3 linked regions of the Elephas maximus indicus genome follow. The main gene of each other region encodes a partner of the protein of the gene in region 3 in a complex. Links are inferred from orthologs where the notes say so. Each region holds a gene or a part of one and is shown on either strand. Other genes may lie near its edges.

Evidence for each region.
Region 1: the proteins of NDUFAB1 (region 3) and LYRM4 are in contact, whole or in part, in a crystal structure (PDB 6ODD), measured with the Homo sapiens proteins. The link is inferred for Elephas maximus indicus from reciprocal best matches to the Homo sapiens genes NDUFAB1 and LYRM4. Residues at the interface, in NP_004994.1 of Homo sapiens: Lys92, Asp111, Ser112, Leu113, Asp114, Val116, Glu117, Met120, Glu123, Asp124, Glu129, Ile130, Asp132; in NP_065141.3 of Homo sapiens: Arg6, Leu10, Ser11, Tyr13, Arg14, Leu17, Arg18, Lys21, Arg37, Phe40, Arg41, Lys44.
Region 2: NDUFAB1 (region 3) and FDX2 share a complex: the UniProt entries of both Homo sapiens proteins name them as parts of the mitochondrial core iron-sulfur cluster (ISC) complex. The link is inferred for Elephas maximus indicus from reciprocal best matches to the Homo sapiens genes NDUFAB1 and FDX2.

The regions. Positions count from the first base shown.
Region 1 is NC_064819.1:47,044,825-47,052,201, forward strand, and holds the start of LYRM4 (LYR motif-containing protein 4), read right to left. Parts: upstream 3,024-7,377; 5' UTR 2,708-3,023; coding exon 2,622-2,707; intron 1-2,621.
Region 2 is NC_064821.1:28,419,130-28,427,208, forward strand, and holds the start of FDX2 (ferredoxin-2, mitochondrial), read right to left. Parts: upstream 3,087-8,079; 5' UTR 2,984-3,086; coding exon 2,830-2,983; intron 2,745-2,829; coding exon 2,690-2,744; intron 2,483-2,689; coding exon 2,376-2,482; intron 1-2,375. Other genes in the region: RAVER1 (ribonucleoprotein PTB-binding 1), read right to left, coding at 4,437-4,583, 4,673-4,756, 5,130-5,261, 5,757-5,831, 6,629-6,937, 7,034-7,245, 7,502-7,589. UniProt on the Homo sapiens protein: Electron donor, of the core iron-sulfur cluster (ISC) assembly complex, that acts to reduce the persulfide into sulfide during [2Fe-2S] clusters assembly on the scaffolding protein ISCU.
Region 3 is NC_064830.1:83,810,085-83,817,058, forward strand, and holds the start of NDUFAB1 (acyl carrier protein, mitochondrial), read right to left. Parts: upstream 3,056-6,974; 5' UTR 3,016-3,055; coding exon 2,848-3,015; intron 1-2,847. UniProt on the Homo sapiens protein: Carrier of the growing fatty acid chain in fatty acid biosynthesis.

The sequences.
Region 1 (7,377 bases), on a different chromosome or scaffold from region 3:
AAATAAAAATACTACCTTCTTCACAGGGTTGTTGTAAAAAATAAATGCAGTAATAGACGTAAAGCACAGAAAATAGTAGTGGCACACAAAAGGGATCGGAAGATGTTATTACTGATCTGTCATCAGCCACAAATAGTTGCTAAGATTAGAGAGGAAGGAAGAGGCTATCCTTGAAAACTGCTGGATGTAGCTTTAATAAAAAGAAAACCTATAAGTAAATTTATTATCTTAGGAGATGTTACTAGCAGGAATCTCAGGATTTAGGTCCACAATTTCAGGAAACAGTGCAAAATGATTACCAGGTTCCTTTGAATACTGCTTTTATATTTAGATAATAAATTTAGCTCAAAGGCTCAAAGTATAATTGCAACAATTGTTTTCTAAATGTACATTACCTTATAGTCCCTCACACTGAAACTCATTTCCAATTTTCTGCCTACTGGGTATGGCTTTGACAGCTCTTCCTGCAGTTTACTTAGCATTTATTCACTCGAAAAAACTTAACTTCATTTCTAAGTTTCACCACCTGCCTCATAAATCATTTCCAAATGGAACTTCAGACATAGAAGAGTATTTAGAGATGATGCAGTCCAACAATCTAATTTTGCAGAAAGAAAACTGAAATACGGAGGCTGAGTGACTGGCCCAAGGTTAGATATCCTCTGAGGGCTCCTGCTGGACTTTTCTACCACGTGCTCCCAGACAGACCCTCTCTCTGTCACTGTTTCTTCAACGTGTGAACTGCACGCTGATACCCAGCCCTGTTTATTCTAAGAAAATTTAGGTGACAAAATAACTTCCTCCAGGCTGTGGGGGCAATGGCTGGTTTCCACTTGCATATTTTGTGCACTCCCTCAACAGACCTAGTTAAGTACTTGGTGTTATACCCAGCCCAGTGCCGTCGAGTCGATAACTTGGTGTTATATATGTGGTTAATCCTTGTTAAAAATTCTACCAGTATAAAAAAAAAAAATTATAGGGTTTATTTCCTCTACCTTCAAGGCCAAAATTATTAAGTAAAATCAAGCTTTCTCATGAAATGTTTCTTTTAACTACTTAGTGGATATGACCTCCTTGGCATGCCCTAAATGTTGTTCTTAAGTTACAGGAAAAGTGCCTTTTCTATGCAGGTTTCTAAAAAATGGAGCCCTAGTGTCACAGTGGTTAAAGAGCTTGGCTGCTAATCAGAAAGTCGGCAGTTTGGACCCACCAGCGGCTCCTTGGAAACCCTGTGGGGCAGTTCTACTCTGTCCTATGGGGTCGCTTTGAGTTGGAATCAACTCGACGGCAGTAGGTTTTTTGGTTCTAAAAAACGAGACAGTCATGGCGTGAGAGACTCAGCATCCTTTCCTGCGACGCGATGAACTGGACCTACCAATCACAGGGCCAGCATGCTCACATAACAGCCACGGAAGAGCCTGCTGTTGCTTGTTGTTAGGTGCCATCAAGTCAGTTCCGACTCATAGCGACCCTATAGGATGGAGAACTGCCTCATACGGTTTCCGAGGAATGGCTAGTGGATTTGAACTGCCGACCTTTTGGTTAGCAGCTGAGCTCTTAACCATTATGCCACCAGGGCTCCACCAGGGAGAACCTAGCTAACCACATTTTGTTCCAGGGTAGGCATCAAGGTCCTATGACACTCAATCTATAGGCTGGCTGGCCAGTCATCTAAAATGAGGGCTGGTGTGAAAAGATGAGCTGCTCCAGCCAAATTCTTGCTCTTGGAAACATGGCTCAAATTCACAAAGAATCAGGTAATTAGTAGAAGACATCAAATCTGAAAGCATGTAGAGAGAAAATGTATAAGATACACACAGTGAAGTCAGAAGTTACATGAAGCACAAGTTCTGAAGTACAGAAAACATATTGTAATAAAGAGTAAGAATAAGTGACTCAGGAACAAATAGGAGAATGGGGCAGGCAAGGAAAGTACGCCTCGCTAAGAATGGCTCACTAGAGTTGGGGTCCTTTCTCTTGCTGCTAAAGCCGAATAATCTGGCTGCAGGTTTGATGAGGCCAGTACAAACGAATGTTTCTGCTCCTGATACCTTGTGACACCCATCTCCCTTACCACTATTTGTGTATTATTTTTATGCCACACCCCCCCATAACCTAACTAGAATGCATTTGATTCTAGTAAAACCAAAAAAGCTAATTAAGATACCTGTGAAATGAAAGGGGTGGCTAGCGAGAGCCTTCAGCTCTGTGGACATGTGCCACCAAGTGGTTACGTCCACTGTCAACTCTCCCAATTACTAGGGAAACTCCTGTGTCTGCAAGAAACTGGTCTTAGCTTTATCACTTGCACCTTTCATGTCCATCATTTTTACAGCAGAAACACCAACCGTGCGTCAAAAGCACGTACCAAAGACTTCGCTTTGGAGAGAAATGTCCAAAGAACGGAAAGGTGTTCTCTGCTACAAGCGCAAACCCAGGGCTCCTCACCACGAGGTTTCCGGACCCACCCCCGTCAGCAGGTGCACGCTTTTGGCTGAAGGAGCCCTTCCCGCCGCCGCCAAGAGCACGCGGCGCCGGGTGGGTGGACTCCCTTCCCCGGGACCTTCTCGGGCATCCCGCGCCCGGCCCCTCCCGGCCCCCGCAGCTGCCCGCTGGGTCACCTGTAGTTGTAAGCGCTGAAGTGCTTGCTCTCTCTCAGCATCGCCCGGTAAAGATCTAACACTTGTGCGCGGCTGGAGGCTGCCATTTTGGGGAAAAAAAAATAAAATAATAAATGGGTCCTTTTTGCGGAGGTCCCTAACGCAACCCACAAAATTTCAGCCTATGCAAAAAAATAAAAACACCACGAACAAAACGCAGTGCTCCGCCTTGCTGGCGGGGTCCGGGCTTCTGGCCCAGTCCGCGCGAGCCCTGCGTCCTGGCCTCGCCTCTGGAAGGCGCCCGGGAGCCCCGCGCGACCTTAGGAAAAGCACGCAGGCAGGGCGCCGGGCAGCTAAGGCGGCGGGGGCGGCGCGGCGCGGCGCGGCACGCGGGAGGAGGGGCCGCCAACTGACGGGCCGGGCTGTGGGGCTGGGGTCTGGGACGGCCTCTGCGCCGAGTCCCCTCTTCGGGGATGGGGTCGGAGGCTGGAGCACTGCGGGCTCCCGCTCCGTCACGGAGCGTCTCCGCGAACCACTCGGGCTTGAAGTGGAGACATTTGTATCTGAGGGTGCGTCACCCGGCAGCGCCCCGCTGGGCCGGGCGCCTCGTTGCTGGGTTACCGAGCGCGCGCGCTCCGCCTCCGCTGGCCGCAGAGGCACCCAGCCGCGGACGCCCCGCCCCCATCGGCTGCGGCCGCCCGCGGCGCTGCCTGAGAGGCGGTGCGGGGCGGTCGGGGGCGTCGCGTTGCGGCCGAACGTGGTCGGCTAGCAGGGAACGCAAGGCTCTCGCCGCGCGGGGGTTGGGGCGCGAGGGTCGCGGAGGAGACGGGGCAGTGTTTCTGTGGCATGCAGGCTCCGTTCAGGGCGACAGGCTTAAGGGGCCTGCAGGGCAGGGCCCAGTTTCTGGTCAAAATGGCAGCGCCCAGCGTGCACGGATGGCTTTGCGGTGGGGGGTTGCCGTCCTCCCCGTGAGAGCGAGCGGGCCTGCTGCGCTTCTGAGTTTGAAACGCCTGCAGTCTGGGTTTCCGGGGTGAGCGGTGGGTGAGTGCGGGCTTCGCTGCAGCGTGGGGATGCGACGCGGTCGGTTCGTGTGGTGGGGAGTTTGCACTTGGCCGTAGACTTTTCTGTGTTAACGGGTTATTTTTTGAGACTCGAGTTTTTGCTTTTGTGTCATGAGTTATTCAGTTTTGTAATTTAATAAGTGTGTAAAGGCGGGGCCGCCTGGGCTGTAGGTTAATTGGGGGTATTTAGGAGTTTAAGGACGGTGGTGATCATTTCAGACCCAAGGCAAGAAGCTCTGGAAGTTTCTTCCTGAAGCTTTTCATAGCTAAGCCTTCTCCCGGGGTTTTTTCTCAGAAGACTTCAACTTTTCTGAACCACCGTGTTACGTAGTGGTTTTTGAGCGTGGGACTGGGCGCAGGGAAGCCCGAGCGGCTTCTAGTGACTGCGTGCAAAGCACGTACTTTTGGAGTCTTGCGTTGTATAGTCAACGTTAGGAAGAACCACAGCTTTCTGCCCCAAACACAGCGAGGAGCAACTTCATGCTTAAAAGACAAACGTTTCCATTAATCTATCTTTTTTCCAACCACTGAGTTATGATTGTGTTCTAAAGTATTTTAACGTATCTAGTTTTGAAAAGATTGCGGATCGCCCAGACTGTGGAACACTTGTACACAATCAAAGCAACTTGGTGTTTTCAGGAACTTTAGGGGCAGGAGACTCTTTCTTTTCTGACCTTACCGTACTTGGGACGTGTACTGGCAACACGTCTTTGGGTCCAAATTTACTCACTAGTCCTGTTGGCAGTGGCACTTAATAAAAAGACAGCGAGAAAATGCTTTTACTAACCTTTTGATCTTCCTGTCGGATTTCTTCAAGGTCTCATACATCTATATGTCTCAAAATAGATCTTTTACAAGGTAACAGAACTTCTGTCACTTTTTGCTGGTCTGTCAGGCCTCTGGGCAAATCTTGCCAAGGATTTATTGAAAGTACTTTTAAAATTTTGAGATTTTTCTGTGACAATTTTTAAAGGATTCAAGACCAATGGAATCACATAAAGTTCATTCTTAATATGATACAATTTTGTGTGCTGGTGATACAAAGTGATATGTGGCATCTGGGAAAACCACAATGTTGATGAAAGTTACAGAAAACTATCAAAATGAGAAGACAAAAAATGAACCTTTTTTGGCCTGTTTAGAAATAGTGGGAGTTATGTTATTGTATTTTGCTTTCATTTAGAAAGTTTAGCTGGCATAGTTAATACCATATACAATTGCCTAATTATCAAGCAATTTTACAATTGATGTATCTAAATGACTTAACTTTGTTGTAACCAAGTGAAACTTTCCAAATAAATATGTAAAATTTAAATAGTTTGCTTGAGTAGCCTAGTCATCTGTTAGTACAAGGAATGTTGAGAAATCACTAGGTATGAAAGTGATACCTTCCCAGTTAATCCTAAACTAAGTTTTCACAAAAAGACTTACTGTGTTATTTGAAATGATTTATCAGAACGTTGAATATCCTTGCCTTAAAGACTAATGAAAAATCATAACACCAAAGCTAAATCTCCTGTTTTTGCAGGTCACGTTTGCAGAGATGACTAGTTGAGGTTGAAAGTGGAATGCGGCCAGAAGCTGAGAATGGACCCTTATTCATATGTCCTTTAATATGCGTTCCATACTGGGCTGAGAACTCTTAAAACCCTGAAACCAAAACCTGTTGCCCCGAGTCCATTGCGGCTCATAATGACCCTATCAGACATGGTAGAACTGCCCCATAAAGTTTGCAAGGAGCGCCCAGTGGATTCCAACTGCCATAACGACGACGCCATCAGGGTTTCCTACAAAACCAAAAAACCAAACCCGATGCTGTTGAGTTGATTCCGATTCATAGTGACCCTGTAGGACAGAGTATAACTGCCCCATAGGGTGTCCAAGGCTGTAATCTCTATAGAGCTGAAGCCCTGGTGATGCAGTGGTTATGTGTTTGGCTGCTAACCAAAGGGTAAGTCTTCCGAATCTACCAGCCGATCCTTGGAAACCCTACGGGGCAGTTCTACTCTGTCCTATAGAGTTGCTGTGCAGTGAGTGTAATTTTTACGGAAGCAGACTGCCACTTGTTTTCTCTGGTGGACCAGCTGGTGGGTTTAAACCAGGGCTTTGAACGGATTCTTCCTGTTCTAACTGCTGCTGAGAATTTTCGTTTCTACCCCAGACATACCGAATCAGTCTATGTTTTAACAAGATTCCTAGGTGATTCTTAATGTATAATACGTTCTGAGAACTACTGCTCTGGTAGTGGCTCTCAGAATTGGTCCTTAACCAGCAGCATTAGCATCACCTGGGACCTTGTTAGAAATGCAAATTCTCACCAGGGGTTCGAACCAGAGGAACCTGTTCGAATCCCTGGTTCAAACTGCCTACTTTTTGTTAGCAGTTAAGTGCTTAACTACTGTGTCACCACGGCTCCTTGTCTTAGCAAAGTGACTATAAATAAACTAGGGAGTAGCCACCTACTAGGAACCCTGGTGGTACAGTGGTTAAAGTGATCCACTGCTAACCACCAGTGGCTTCACGGGAGAAAGGTGTGGCAGTCTGCCCGTAGAGATTTACAGCCTCAGAAACCCTATGGGGTTGGTATGAGTCCGAATCGACTTCATGGCCGTGGGTTTGGGTACCCTCCTACTACCACTTGTGTGTCATCGAATTGATTTCAACTCATAGTGACTCTATAGGACAGAACTGTCCTATAGAGTTTCTTAGGCTGTAATCTTTATGAGAGCAGGCAGCCAGGTCTTTACTTCTTTGGAGCCAGTGGTGGATTCGAACCGATGTCATTTCAGTTAGTCCGGCGCTTCACCATTGAGCCGCCAGGGGTCCTTTACTACCGCTTAGGCCTGAAAATGTAAAAAAGAAATTATGCTCAATTGTCCATATTATTAACTACCAGTAGTTCTTTGTGAAATCATACTGCCTTATATTACAATGAGCACTTAATGCTTTTGAAGAGAAATTTCTCCAGCTGTAATAAGCAGAGTTGGAATCAACTGGATGACGGTGGATCTGGATTTTGATTTTGGTTTTTAAGCTTGTATATCAAAATGATGTGTAAAGAAAATCTTGTTTAAGCAGTTTCTGATATTATAATTTAGGAATGATTCCACTCTGTGGATCTGCTTCTGTTATCCTCATTTGTTTTTATCCATCCTTAGTTCTTAGAGAATATGCAACTGGAAGGGACCTTAGATATGACTCATTTTACAGATGAACAAACTAAAGTGATTTCTTAATCATTCATTCAGCATTTATTGAACATTCCCTAAGTGCCATACACTGTACAAGATGATGGAGATACAGGAGAGCCCTCCAAAACCCCTTAAGTAAACCTGTAGAAGACTAGATAAGCAAAGCAATAATTTATTGTGACAAGTGCTGTGATAGGGATATTACCAAATACTGTTGTTGTTTGGTGCCGGTAAGTTGATTCTTGACTCATAGGAACCCCATGTGACAGAGTAGAATTGCCCCATAGGGTTTACCTGGCTGTAATCTTTATAGAAAAGAGCCCTGGTGGTACAGTGGTTAAGCATTCAGCTGCTAATCGAAAGGTTGGCAGTTCAAACCCACCAGCTGCTCCTCAGGAGAAAGATGTGGCAGTCTGCTTCCATTAATATTACAGCCTTGGAAACTCTGTGGGGCATTTCTTCTCTGTCCTGTAGCGTTGCTGTATGAGCAGCAGTGGACTTGACGGTTAATAATTTTTTTTTTTT
Region 2 (8,079 bases), on a different chromosome or scaffold from region 3:
TCTTGCCCTTATTACCCCTTTTTAATTTTTGTATAGCATTGATCACATCTGGACCTCTGGGTTTACCTGTTCCCCGCAGGCCTGCCCTAGCCTCTCTGTACCTAGCACTGAGCCTGGCACATGCCGTAGATGCTCAAGCACCATTTGTCACGAGCAAACAATAGCATGCTAAACTGTCCCTCCTCTTCTCCCTCTCAGACATGTCCTGCAATGTGGGTGGAGCTGGAAGGGCAGCCTCCAGACCCAGGAGCACCTCCCTGTATGCCTTCAAATGCCACCACTGGGCCCTGTGTCTAATCTGCCCATCCTCCTGGTCTCCTGGGCACAAAATGTCTGGGCCTTGAAACTCCAAGTAATACCCGGGCATCTCTTCCGAGGCCATTTCCTACCTTGATAGCATTCTCATCACAGGACATTAAAATGATCTAGTTATACAATAATCCCAGCTATTCACTGGGTGCTAACCATGTGCATGACACCTGTTTAATCCTCCCAGTAACCCAGTGGGATAGGAACTGAATTATCCCATTTTATAAATGAGGAAACAGAGGCCGAGAGAAGCTAAGTACCTTGCCGAGGGCCACACAGCTGGTAAGAGGCAAAATCTGAACACAGGCATTTGCCTCTAAGACTCGTCTTCCAACCTATGTCCTGGACTGCCAGCCAAGGCTCTTAACTTCCCAGAGATAAGGAGCTGGTCTAGGGGCTGGCTGGATTCCACAACAGAACTCGAGGTAGGCCTGCCCTGATGCCCCCCTCCATTCATGCCCTCAACATCTCTAATGATTAAATGAGGCTCCCACCACTACGGGACAACCCCTGCACATCTTCCTTCAGACTACTCTTCCCAGTTGCTCATGATATCATGTTTACTCGTAGAACTATTGGATTATGGTCCCTATTAGGTTGAAATTGGTGACAGATGACAGGGGTCTTATCTGTCTTGTACACTGCTGTCTCCCCAGCCCCCAGCACAGAGCCTGGCAAACAGTAGGTGCTCAAAATTCAGAGAAGGGTAGCACAGATTAGTCGTGAAAATGGGATGGGTCTGAATCTAATGTTGCCACTTACTTGACCTTGGACCAAGTCTACATAACCTGGGGCTCAGTTTCCTAATCTATAAAATGGGGATAACAGTCTCCCTATTACCTAGAGTTGTCAAAAAGATTCAATCAGTATGTGTTAACACGCTTAAAGTAGTGTCTATTATTTTTTCAGCCAATACTGATTTAACACCTGTTACATTCTATTTGGGTGCCATGGAGTGGATGCTGATCCCATGTAATAGAGTAGAACTGCCTCACAGGATTTTTTTTTTTGGCTGTACTCTTAACAGGGAAACCTTGGTGGTGTAGTGGTTAAGTGCTACGGCTGCTAGCCAAAAGGTCAGCAGTTCGAATCTGCCAGGCGCTCCTTGGAAACTCTATGGGGCAGTTCTACTCTGTCCTATAGGGTCCCTATGAGTTGGAATCGACTCGACGGCACTGGGTTTGGTTTTGGGTTGGTTACTCTTAACAGGCAGAGATCACCATGTCTTTCTCCTGAAGAACCCCTGGTAGGTTCAAACTGACAACCTTGCCGTTAGCCGGCAAGTGCTTAACCATTGGTTTAACAGTGGTTAAAGTGCTCGGTTGCTAACCTTTTGGTTAGCGGTTCAAGCCCACCAGTTGCTCTGAGAGATAAAGATGTGACAGTCTGTTTCCGTAAAGATTATAGCCTTGGAAACCTGACGGGGCAGTTCTACTCTATCCTATAGGGCCACTACGAGTTGGAATCAACTCGATTGCAACAGGTTTGTTTTTTTTTTTTTATGTTCAGGTACCATGATAGACAATAGATAAGTGGCAAATGGGGTTTCTGCTTCTTGTCATGGGATGGGTGAAAAAGAAGCAAGCGAAACAGCCGTAAACTGATAAGAGTGACTGGGGCATGGGAACTTTAACTACGCTAAGGGGACCGGGACATCAAGATGATATTTACGCTGAGACATGCAGGGTGCAGAGGAGCCACATCTGGCCAGAAAGCACTTCAGGCAGAGGGAACAGCAAGTGCAAAAGCCCTGAGGCAGGAATGAGCTTGGCTGTTTGAGGAACAGCATGGAGGCCAGTGTGGCTAGAATAGAGAGAAGAAAGAATAAGAAAACACAAGCTCCGGAAGGGCCAGAGTTTTAGTCTCTAGTAAATGCTCAATAACCAAGCGCTGAGCGCAGGATGGTTAGGAGCTGGGTTGGGGTTGTGGCCACGGTGAGTTTGGATTTTGGTCCATGTTTGGTGGGAGGCCATTGGAAGGTTAAGCAGTGGAAAGACATAGTCTGATTTGCGGTTTTTCAAATGAATGAATAAGGGCCACCCCAATTCTCTAAGCGGAGCTCCCACCTTCCAGGTCCACCCCGTGGCGCTGGGCCAAGTGAAGAACATTGTCCCCGACTCTGCCGCTCACTGGGATCCTTCGGCCTGAGCGGTCTACGAACACCACGTTCACCCTGGGGACAGATGGGGAGTACAGATGCCGAACTGGGGCAGGGACCCCGAATCCGGTGGAATCTAGGGTTAGGGAGTCGGGGCTGGGGTTTGATGGACAAGCAAATAGGGCGGGGCCGAAGGAGTACTCCGCAGATGAGGCTGTGGGACACGGTGGGGTACTGAGAAACCTCGTGGGATGCGGACTGGGGGGCTTGCCCCGCACTCACACGTCCCGGGGCCGCTCAGGGTCGCCGGCTTCCTCCTCCCCCGCTGGGCGCGAGCCTGGAAAACAGTTCAGTGAGCGGCTGCGCCGCACCCTACCGGCGGCCGACGGGTTAACGCTGCCCACCCGGCGCACCCTGGGTACCTGTCGCCCGGAATTCCCTAGTTGTCGCCGGCGTCGCTGCCTCCCCTGCCCCCGAACAGCCCCCGAGTCTGCCCCACCAGACCCCCTTGACCGCCCGCAGCAAGACCCCGGCATTCACACCGCTCCGGGCCACGGAGGCGGCCATAACAGGCATCACGTGACCCGAGGACTAGGCATGCGCGCTGCGGAAGTACGCACAATAGATCCGTAAAGATCCGAGCATAAGCGCCGTCTGTTTCCTTGAAGTGTGCGCCAGAGCGCTTCTGTGCAGGATACCAGGGGTGGGACGATGGGAGGACGCGGGGAAAGTCGGGAGGGGGCCAGGTAACCCGGGCCTGCGGAGACCTGTGGGCCATCCCAGACCTCCCACCCTGGCCCATTATTTGCCCAAGAACCAGCCAGTCTTGCTTTCTTTAAACCCATTTACTTACAAACTTTAATTCAGCAAAGGTTTGTGTGGGACTGGGGAAAGGACACCCCCTGGAGTGGAGATGGGCCGGAGTCTGGGGAAGGAAGCTGGTGGCCCAGCTGGCCAGGAGCAGGGCCCAGGGTCACCTCTGGCAGACAGGTCCTGCTCACGGGCAGGAGCAAGCGTATCTACATGGAGTTGGTGGTGTGGGGCACTGGGCCAAAGGGAGGCCAGCTCCGGGTGATCTGGCCTGGGAATGGAGAGGTGGAGTTTGTCTTCAGAAGGGGGTGGACAGCAGAGGCTCACTGGGCTGGATACAATGCTCAACACTCACAGACAGCAGGGGACTGGCTTCAGCTGGCAGAGAAAGCCCAGCTCTGCATGTAGGCCTGGGCGCAAAGGTGAGGGTGGGTGTGCCAAGACCAAGGTTTTGACTTCCTTCTGTCCCAGGGGCAGGCACCCTGGGCAAAGGGGCCCAATCCCCAGGCCAGAGCGGTTTGGTCCTGAGCCAAGCTCCAGAGCTTGGCGTCTGAGAGGCTCTGGCTGGCTGGGGCCTGGGGCCTGGCTTTAAGGCATCTGAAGGTGAGGGGACTGTGGCAGGGAGTTGGGGACCCAGGACTGGGCACAGGCCAGAGTGGGCAGGCAGGGGCAGGAGACGACCTTGCCTGCAACAGACACGGGGAAAAGCGAAAATGGCCATTCAAACCAAAAGGTGTGGACCAGAGGAACAGACACGCTGAGCCTTGAAGGAATCAGAGCTGGGGTTCTCCTGGATTGTTTTTAAAAAACGTTAAAAATTAGAAAAGGAAACAAAAGTCAATTGTCAAAGTTAAAAAAGGGGGGCAGTCTCTGATCTTCACGGGAGGTCACGGAGACCTCCAAGGCACTCGAAAGGCCGAGACACAGGAGCAACGAGGCAAGAGAGGACTCCCAGAGGTGGACACAGTGGAGGGCAGGAGACAGCAGAGGGGAGAGAGCGCAGGCTGGGGCCCTCTCTCGTAAGGCTGCAGGGTTTCGGCGCCCAGAGCAGGCCAAAGGTGCAGAGTGGCCCCCAGACTCCCCCACACTCCCTGGGCTCCGGCTAGTTGGTCAGAAAAGTCTTTCCAAGATTTTTCTATTACCAAAAAAAAAAAACAAAACACCAGAAGGCCCAAAAGCGACTCAGTGCAGGCCCTTGAGCATCTCTGGTGCTGGCCTCTTAGAAAATCCGCTTCCTCTTCAGGTAGGAGTCCGCGTAGTGGCCACCAAGGCCCTGGGAGTGCTGGCCCACGTAGCTGCCCTCCGGGCTGGGCTCAGGCGAGGGCAGCAGGTGGGCAAAGCTTCGTTTCTGGCCACCCAGTGGGGTCTGGAGACAGAAGGTGGGGGGTGGTGAGTCAGGGGCCATCCAGGGGCCACGGCTCCCCAGCCCTGCAGGTCCCTGTCCCCTGCCCGTACCTTCAGCAGGTGGCTGTGGCCATTGGGCCCTGGGCTGAGGCCCAGAAGCCCTTCTCCGGAGCCCAGCGGAGAGGAGCCGACTGCCTGGGCAAAATGGAGAAAGAGAGGAGAGTCAGTTCCTGTAGCCCAGAGGAAGGAGTCCCTAGGGCAGAGGCAAGGGGTTTCAGGTTCACACCTTCCCCCTGCTACTTAGTAGCCAGGAGACCTGGAGCAGAGCCTCTGTTTCCTCATCTGTCAACTGGGTTTAATACCACCCACACACTGGGCTGTTGGGGGAGGAAGTGATGGGAAGCCCAGCAGGCTGGGCAGGGGCAGTGCTTGACATGTAGGCACTGAGACAAGGACATCTTGGTTCACCTGAGCCATGGCCTAGGCTTCAGAGTTCCCAGAGCCCTGGAGGCAGGGGCTCTGCGTTCTGGCTGTCCCTGGGGATGTCCTGGCCAGGGAAGCTCCTCACCTTGTTGAGGTGGCTCTGCTTGAGGCCAGCTTGCAAGCCACTGGCAAAGTAGGAAGTGGGCGAGCCAGAATAGAAGTGAGAGAGGGGGCCCCCACCACTCCGGTCGCCGAAGCCACTGGGCGGGGGGGACATCTGCAGAGAAGGGGTGAGCTAAGTGAGGCAGACCATTGGAATACTGGCCCCCAAGAAATCATGACTCCTACTGTCTATACCCTTGTGTGGATCCCCCAAATGATTGTGACTAGATTTGGCCAAGGGGACAGCAGCAAGATGCTGCAAGCAGGGTCCTGAATAAAGCCTGCAGACCAGGCCTCCCCTCCTCCTTGGGGAACCCTGGGACCACCAGCACATGAATGGGCACAGGCTCTGTGTGGAGCAGAGATACACCATCCCAGCTAAGGCCCCTGTCATCAGCCTGCCAACCGCCGGCCATGCAGGTGAGACCATCGGGGATCATCATTCGCAGTCGAGTGGCCGGATGACTCCAAAGAACCACTCGCCACCCCCACAGAACGGTGAGAACTAACAAAATGTTCACTGTTTTAAGTCACTATCGGAGGGCTGGTTTGTTCTGCAGCAGTAGCTAACCAGTACACCCAGAGGAGGAGTGGCCACAACAGCCCTTACCTTAAGTCGGCTGGGTCCATGGGGCCCTAAGGTGGGCTCTCGTGGGTGAGAAAAGAGCCGCCGAGGTCCCATGTCCTGAATGAAAGTGGGAGAAGCACGATGGTTTGGAGTCTGCACCCACCTCCGCCTCAGCTGAACTCCACGGCCCAGCTGCCCTCAGGCATGTCCGCCCCCTCCTCTCGAGGCCCAGCTGAGGCAAACGCTAGCACATGGGGCCAAACTCGGCCTGCAGGGGCCATGAGAGGGCAGCACAGGCAGAATGAAATGGGGTGTGTGCCTGTCCAAGAGGGTGCTGCACCTGGGCCCAGTGATGGCTACCATGAAGAAGCTTAGCCCTCACTGGGCCAGGTGTAGGGGGGTTTGCAAGGCAAGCGGGGAACCTGGGTTGTGTAGATCCACAATTTTTATATGTTGGCATTTATTTCAGGTCTTTTTTAAAAAAAAAAAAACCCTAACACAGGTGGCCTGTGGATGGCCAGCTTGCAACTTCTGACCTGGAGGAGACTGGAACCAGGGACAGAGACAGAAACTAAAGTGAGGACAGATGGACAGAGAGGTCGCTGAGCCCTGCTTCTAGGGAGAAAGAGACACGGCCTAAGGAAGGCCTCTTGAGAGACAGACAGATGCACGGGCTGAGCTGCAGGGACAGATAGGCAGACAGAAAACAGGACCTGGGGTGGTCCATGGACAGACAGATTTAAGGGCAGGGACTGTGTCCAGCATGTTCCCATTGTCTCCCTGGCCTCTGGCCTGGGACCCAGCTGACTCAGTAGGGGAGAAATATCAGTTTGGAAGATGAATTGCTCTTGGGACAAAAGGCCACACCAGCTGGCCCCTCATGGATAGCTGGCCACAGGGTGCTGGGTACTTACCGAGGGGTAGTCAAAGCTGTAGCTGTCAGGCAACCCTGGCTCAGGTGGCAGGCGGGTGCTGGTGAGGGGGCTGAGCAGACGAGACTTGAGCTGGAAGGCTTTGCTGCTGCTGCCACCTCCACCACTGCCGCCTCCAGGGGCTGGGGGGGCAGGCAGGGGGCCCTCAGCTGGGCGGCGGCTCCTCCCAGGGCCCCCCCAGCCCCGGGCCTCCTTACCCGCCAGGTTGCTGGCTGGGAGCAGGCTGTGTAGGTTCAGGTAGGGATTCAGGGGGATCCGGAAGTCCTTAGGGGGTTCCCCTAGCAGTGAGACCTGTGGCGGGACGGTGGTATCTGCAAGGGTCCCCGGCAGAGGGAACTGTGCAGGGTGGGAGGTGGATGTGGCTCTGGGCACAGGGCAGGGCCTTACCCCAGGGGGCGTTGGCAGAGGCCCACTGTCTTTCTGGAGGCCTCTAAGGCCAGTGCCTCGGAGCCCCGTGGGGGCAGGGGGTGGAGTGAGCTGGGCTGCTGAGGGGCCCAGGCCCATGGCCTCCCGGTCACTTCCAGAGGGGCCAAGCAGTGGCGGCAGCAGGGGTGGCGGCTTCCCTCGCCGAGGTGGCAGCTCTGGGGGCAGGCCCCCCCCTACAAAGAGAAGGAGGGGTCAGGGGCCCGGCCGAGCAGGATCCCTCCCCCTGGAGCCTCCACACATGGACCAGGGCCCAGTGGACAAGGGGCTGAACACTGAGCACCAGCTGACAGATGAAGACACACAGACCTGGAGAGGTGAGGCCACTTGCCCAAGGCCACCCTGCTGGGAACAGACACTCCCAGTGAGGAAATGGGCTTGGGAAGGGGATGTGGGGTGGTGCCAGCAGAGAGACAGTAGAGTCTGCATTACCTGCAGACAGCTCCCCAAGAAGGGGGTTGGCCGGCTGGGCTCCAGGCTGGAGGGGGCCCAGGGGAGAGTCTCCCAGGATGCCAGGCTTCTAGGGACAGAGCACAGTCAGCTGGGAACAGGGGTGCCAATCACCCAGCATATGCCTAGCCTCCAGCCCACAGCCACTCAGACAGACAGGTAGTGGCCCCACCCACTCACCACCCATCCACTCAGACAATGGCTGCTGAGGGCCTACTATGCAGTTACCCTGTCCTAGGTACTGGAGAGTCCTAAGTACTGGACAGACACAGGAGCCATGCACCAAAAACACAGTGTGTCAGGGTCTGTCACCCCACACTGTCTACCACTGTCAGACATACACACACATGGTGACAGTCACTCTTAGCCATACAAGGGCCCTCACACACAACCTCATGCCCTTGTCAGTTACAATCAGACACACCCACATCACTGATTTTGCTCCAGTGGACCAAACCAGGCAGAGCAGAGTGAGTGAGTGAGTGAGTGAGTGAGTGAGTGAGTGAGTGAGTGAGTGAGTGTGTGTGTGTGTGTGTGTGTGTGTGTGTGTGTGTGTGTGT
Region 3 (6,974 bases):
GCCTGGTGGATTTGAACTGCTGACCTTTTGGTCAGCAGCTAAGCTCTTAACCACTGTGCCACCAGGGCTTCAGACAAAGAACAGGAGAGGGAAGGGCAGTCCAGCAAAAGAAAATGAGGCATGAAAGTGTAGTGTGTCTGTGTGGGAAGACATGAGTTCATGTTGCTGCACATTAAAGGGCAAAGTGGTGCACTGATGACAGGCACTGAGGTGGAAGAGAGCCAGGGCCCAGGTCTGCAGGGCTTTTGGGGCCAGGGTCAGGGGCCAGGACTCTGTTTTACTGGAGAATGAATGACACGGACAAACCTCAGCTCTGAGTCCATCACTGTCAGACATGACTTTCGGCGCCAGTGCCAGGAATAGCCAAGCCTTTCCTGCATATATATAGGGTTGCTAAGAGTCAGAATTAACTTAATGGCAGTGGGTTCCTGCATAAGTGGTTTCTCTTCATCTGGGTAATGTGTCCCACAGAACTGTTTGGAACTTCTCTTTGCGTTCTGGCTGCTGCTAGCAAGTTTAGATTCGGGTCCCACCTGGACCAAGATTAAGGCTTCCTGGCTCCATTTTAGGCCGCTACCCTTGTTTTTCTTCTTTTTTTCTTACTTATAGGGTCACTATGAATCAGATTCGATTTGACTCAATGGGTACTGATACAGGTAGTTGCAATGATGGGATCTGAGAAGGGGAGTGGAGAGAACAAGCAACAGTCCAGATGGAGACTAACAATGGTTGGAGGTAGAGATTTGGAGTGATTGGAATACAGGGAATAACAGAAACTAAGAGAGAGGAAGAGGCAGTTCAAAGACACTGTGTGGTAAGAGAACTCGGGAGCACACTGACGTTTAACTGTTAGGTAGAGAAAGAGCCCAAGGAAACAGGGTAGGAGCAGAGAGCTAAGGGAAGAACCAAGGGAGAATAGTGTGACAACAGGCTATAGAAGACAGCACTGGCAAAGAAGCTGGCAAGTTTAACATGTGGGCTGCAAGGTGTCCAATGAAAACATGAATTAATGTCTTTCTTTAGTATTCATCTCAGTATCACTTAACAACCAGCAGGAGGCCTGGCACATAGCTGTCCCTCAGTATCTTTGAATGAACAAGTATTTATTCTCCACCTCAATCCATGAAGGATGTAACTATGTTAAATGCGAGCACTTAGTCAAAACCACTATGCAAATATAAAACGGTTCTATTGTATATATGAACCAAGCAGAGGTAGAGGAACATATTCAAGGACATGCTCAAAGTGTGGTTTGCTACTCAAACTTTGCTACTCAAAGTGTGGTTCAAGGACCAGCAGCATCAGTACCTTCTGGGAGCCCACTGGAAATGAAGACTCTCAGGGCCCTTCCCAGACTTACTCAATCAGAATCCACATTGTAACCCAGGTGATCTCTATGCACAATGAAGTTTGAGAAACAATGCTCTGAGAATAGGGACAATCACTTCGCATTTCAGCCTAATGTTGAAATCAGGAACAAAACACTTAGCAGCAACTCTACCTACTGCCCTTTTAGCCCTTAACTTCAAAGTGAAACATTAACCTTTTGATCCAACTAATAGGATAACACTCTGAATTAATCCATTACACCATCAGTGAATCTCAACACTGGCTGCACAAAGAATCACCTGAGGACTTTAAAAAATTAGATGCCCAGGCCTCACCTCTAGAGATTCTGATTGAATTGGCCTGCTTATCCTGTTTTTTTAATTCTAACATTTGGTCAAAGTTGAAACCACTGTGTTATATGAAGTCAGTGAGTTTGAAATGGGTTTCTCACCTTGACCTTGGGAGATTCTATCCTACCTTAAGGCACTAGCTCTTCATCTCATCTGCACTTCAGAGTCACCTGGGAAACTTAAAAAAAAAACAAACCCATGCCAGAGATATATCCCAGAAGCCAGAATGAGAGCTGCGGGGGTGGGGGTGGGGGTGGGGGTGGGGGTGGGGGTGGGGGTGGGGGTGGGGGTGGGGGTGGGGGTGGGGGTGGGGGTGGGGGTGGGGGTGGGGGTGGGGGTGGGGGGGTGAGGTGGAAATGGGGTTGAAAGCTACCCAAGAGATCTTAATGTGCAGCTAGGATTGACAATCACTGCCCTGCTGAGAGTTGTGGCCTCACACAGATTTCATCAGATAAGCTAGATCCTACTTGTTTTCCACCCTTTCTTCCAGAAGGCCCACAAACCGGGCAAAAGATGCCACAGGGAAAATTTCAGACAGAAATCCGGGAAGAGAACTACTCTGGAGAAGGCTGTAGGCCAGTGTGGCCCCTGTTACTCGCCGTCCCCTAGAAAGCTATCACGGTGTTTATGATTATTACTAGAAATAACAGTCATCAGTATTTTGAGAGCTTACCAAGCACCGCAGTAGGTGCTGGATCTGATCTCACTAACTCTCACCGCACTTCCATAAGACAGAGACCAGTATCTCGATTCCATGGATCAGACTGAGGCTTCCAGACATGAGGAGACTTTTGCAAAGTTTCAGTAAATGGCAGCCACCTTTCGAGGGTCTGACTCGGGAGTCTGTGCTCTTGCTCATAACCGGGCCTTGGGGGCCAGGGTCAGGGGGCCTAGGTGACCCCACCTCCCCGCTTAAATCAACCAAGTCCCGTTATGTCAGTGAGGTCGGGGAGCGAGCCAGATGCCCTCGGGGTCACCCCACCTGCAACTGGCGCAGTCCCGCTGCCCGCCCTAGGTCTCCTCGGCCTTCCCGTGCAGACCTTGCTAGCCCCGACTCGCCGCCCCAAGGCCCGACTCCCTCCCCTTTCAGTCGGGCCCCCGCTCCCCATCCCGGAGCGTGCCCGATCCCTGACCCCTGCCGGGCCCCAGCAAAGTCACCGCGAGTCACCTGCGCGAGAATCGAGATTGGCTCCGGAGCCCGGGGTCTCGTCCGGATCCCCGCGGGACACAGGGCGGTGCTGAGTGGCCGGGCTGCGGCCAGCGTGGTGGACCGGGGCAGGGGCGCGAAGGCCGCGGGTAGGCGGCGGAAACAGGCACAAAGGACACGAGCCGCCATGGCTACGCTAACCCAGGATGCAGTGCGCCGCAATCTCAGGGCAAAGCTTCCGTGCCCGCCCCGCGCAGGCTACGCACAGAGCGGCGCTGTCGGGCGCCGTCGGCTCTGGCGGCCCCTGGCGGCCCCAGCTGGCACTGCGTCTTCCGGGTTGCGCTACAGGGCCGTCCAGGTTCGGAAGCGAGTTACTTGCCGTAACTAAGACTGCGCAGCTATTGTCTTTCCATAAACAGTGATAAAAAGCACAAGAACTTATTGCTTATTCTCTGAAAGTTCTGAAATACATTTATTTAAGTTTCGATGCCACGATTCTTACTTAAACCCGTTGTGGAGTCGGTTCCGACTCATAGCGACCCTGTAAGACGGAACAGAACTGCCCTATAGGGTTTCCAAGGAGCGCCTGGTGGGTCTACGCCACCAAGGCTTCCAATTCTTACACAAGTATTAAAATCTAATAGGTAAAAAACTCAGTGCAAAATACAAAAACCAAAAGTACAAAATAAGAATGCGAAAATAAAGAATGTGAAAAACAAGAATCGCTTTAAATATGTACCTAATACTAATACATATGGGAATGATGATAAAAAACAATGCGCATGTTTTAAAACTTGACAAAGTATAAATAATAAAACTAACAAAAATGCGGAAATGGAGGGAGGTTAAACCTGCCAAACTGTTTGCATTAGCCACCAGGCTTTTCCTGCATCCTGACTTTGTTAGGAAATCCTTGTGGTGTAGTGGTTAAAAGCTATGTCTGCTAACCAAACGGCTGGCAGTTTGAATCCACCAGGCATTCCCTGGAAACCCAATGGGGTAGGTAGTTCTACTTTGTCCTATAGGGTCACTATGAGTTGGAATTGACTTGATGGCAATGGGTTTTGACTTTGTTTCTACCACTTCTCTGTTGATTAGCAATTGGAAGAGAAACTGTATCACTTCCTTGGAATGACCAACCTCTATTTTGAAAGGTAGCCTTCCATTTCTGCAGAAACTGGCACCAAATCTCTGGTTGGTATGAGTGGGATCAGGGCCTATAAGATCTGCTTAGGTGATACACCATCCTCTTCTTTCTCCTCCTTGGTCACACTGGAGAGATGGAGACAGTGCTGTGGTGCTGACTGTAACACCAGCAGAAGAGGGAGCAATCAGAAGACCACGATAGCCTACTGAGCCCACTCTTGGGATCATCTCTCCCCATGGCCTTTCTAGTATTTCTGAGTTACATTTAATCCTTTCAGTGAAAAATAATAAATAACCTCTTATTTAAATGTTATATTGGTTGAGACATCTACTTTTACCTTCAGCAAACACATTAGGAGAAAATGTTGGCCTACATGGTCTGTTGGGTAAAAGGTCCAATATTAAGATCAAGTCCTTAACAATTGAGGAAGATTCAAGAAAGGTCACTGGTGCTTTTCATTTTTGCCTCTCTGCACCATAAAAGGATGTACAGTGAAACCTGTGAGAGCCGAAACTCAACAGGTCTGCGTTTTTCCAGGTCTTGCAAGTTTTCTGCCTCTGACAGGGTGTGGTCTTACCACTTTTCTATTGCTCGTTTTAGTAGAAAATATTTGCATTTTCCTTCTCTGACAGGTTTCCACCTTACACAGTTTCTACCCTTCACAGGTTTTACTGTATGAACATAAACTATTGTCAGTTTCTTGTACACATCATCCCACCGACCCATCAGTTATCCCTCCCTTCCAGCCCACCTGCACCTTTATATCACCCCCTCCTTGGGCTACCAGGTATCTCTACTCTCCCACATCTTCAACATCTCTCTTTCTTCTGGCTCTTTTCTCTGAGCCTATAAAGATGCCAAAGTTTCTCACAGTCTAAAAACAATGTCAGAGGCTCCCTCCGTTGACCCTTCATATGAGCCCCACAGGGTCATCTCCCCGCCTCCACAAATCCATTCTTCACACTGCAGCCAGAGTGGGACCTCTTCGCTTCACGACTCAAACCCTTCCAGGGGTTCTTTTCACCTGCAAAATCCAGATTTGTTAACGTGTCACAAGCCCCCAGACTACCTCTCTAGCTTCCTGACTCCACTCTGCACAGCATAATTAGGTTTTCACATTATTGAAATGTCAATGATTCTTTACTCTTCATGTCCCATCTACTGATGAGTCCATCAAAGGAATTCTTTATTTTTGTCAGTGTTTTTCGATTCTAGCATTTACTTTTCTTTCTTACCCGACTTTCCATCTCTCTGCTTACATTACCCATCTGTTCTTGCAAGTTGTCTACTTTTTTTGTTACAGCGCTTAGCATATTATTTATAATTATTCAAAATGCACGGTCTGATAATTCCAAAATCTCTGCCATATCTGAGTCTGGTTCTGATGCTCGCTTTATCTCTTCACACTGCATTTTCTAACTTTCAGTATGCCTTGTAATTTAAAAGTAAATGGATGGAGAAAGATATACAAATGCTAACACTCATCAAAAGAAAACCTAGAGTAACTATGCTAATTTCAGAAAAAGCACATCTCAGAGCAAGGAAAATTATGAGATAAAGAGGGGCATTACATAACGTTAAGGAGTCAATTCTCCACAAAGATATAATAATAATTAATGTGTTTGCACTTAACAACAGAGAGACAAAACATGTGAGGCAAAAAAACTGATAGAATTGCAAAACCAAAAAAAAAAAAAAAAAACCCACTGCCGTGGAGTCGATTCCAACTCATAGTGACCCTATAGGACAGAGTAGAACTGCCCCATACAGTTTCCAAGGAGTGCCTGGCGGATTCGAACTGCCGATCTTTTGGATAGCAGCCGTAGCACTTAACCACTACGCCACCAGACGGAATTGCAAGAACAGACAAATCCACTATTAGAGTCGGAGACTTCGAGGCCCCTCCATCAGAAACTGACAGATCCAGCAGGTGGAAAATTAGTAAGGATACAGATGAACTGAGCAGCACCATCAATCAATTGGATCTAAGTGACATTTACAGAACACTTCATCCAACAGCAACAGAATACATAATCTTTTCAAGTTCACATGGAATATTCACTGAGGAAGACCAAATCCTAGGCTATAAAATATACCTTAACAAATTTAAAACAGTAGAAAGCATACAAAGAACGCTCTCAGATCTCAATGGAATTAAACTAGAAATCACAGCTAGAAAATCTCAAAATATTTGGAGATTAAACAACATGCTTCGAAATAATACATGGGTCAAAGAAGCAGTCTAGCTACTTCTTAAAACGTATTTTGAATTAAATGAAAATGAAAATACAACTCATCAAAATTGTGGGACGCAGCAAAAGCAATGTTTAAGAGGAAATTGAGAGCATTGAATGCATATAACAGAAAATCTAAAACCAATAATCTAAGCTTCCACCTTACCCAACTGTAGGAAACTAGAAAAAGAAGAGCAAATTAAATAAAAAGTATGCAGAAGAAAAATAATTAGAGCAGAAATCAACATAATTGAAAACAAAATTAAGAAAGAAAATCAACAAAACAAAAGGCTGGTTCTTTAGAAAGATCAATAAAATTGATAAATTCCTAGCCAGGCTAACCAAGACAAAAAAAGAGACCGAACACACAAATACTAATATCAGAAATGAAAGAATATTAGTACTGAATCCATGGACATTGAAAGGGCAATAAAGGAAAATTATGAACAAGTCTATGCCCACAAATTTAATAACTTACATAAAACGGGCCAATTCCTTGAAAGATACAATCTACCAAAATTCACGCAAGGAGAAGTAGATCATCTGAAGGTGCCTATATACATTACAGAAATTGAGTCAACACTTAAAAACCCTCCAAAACAGAAAGCGCCAGACCCAGATACCTTCACTGGTGAATTCTACCAAACATTTAAGAAGAAATGATATCAATTCTTTACAATCCCTTCCATACAATAGAAGCAGAGGGAACATGTCCTAATTTATTTTATAAAGCTAGCATTACCCTAATTACCAAACGCAGACAAAGA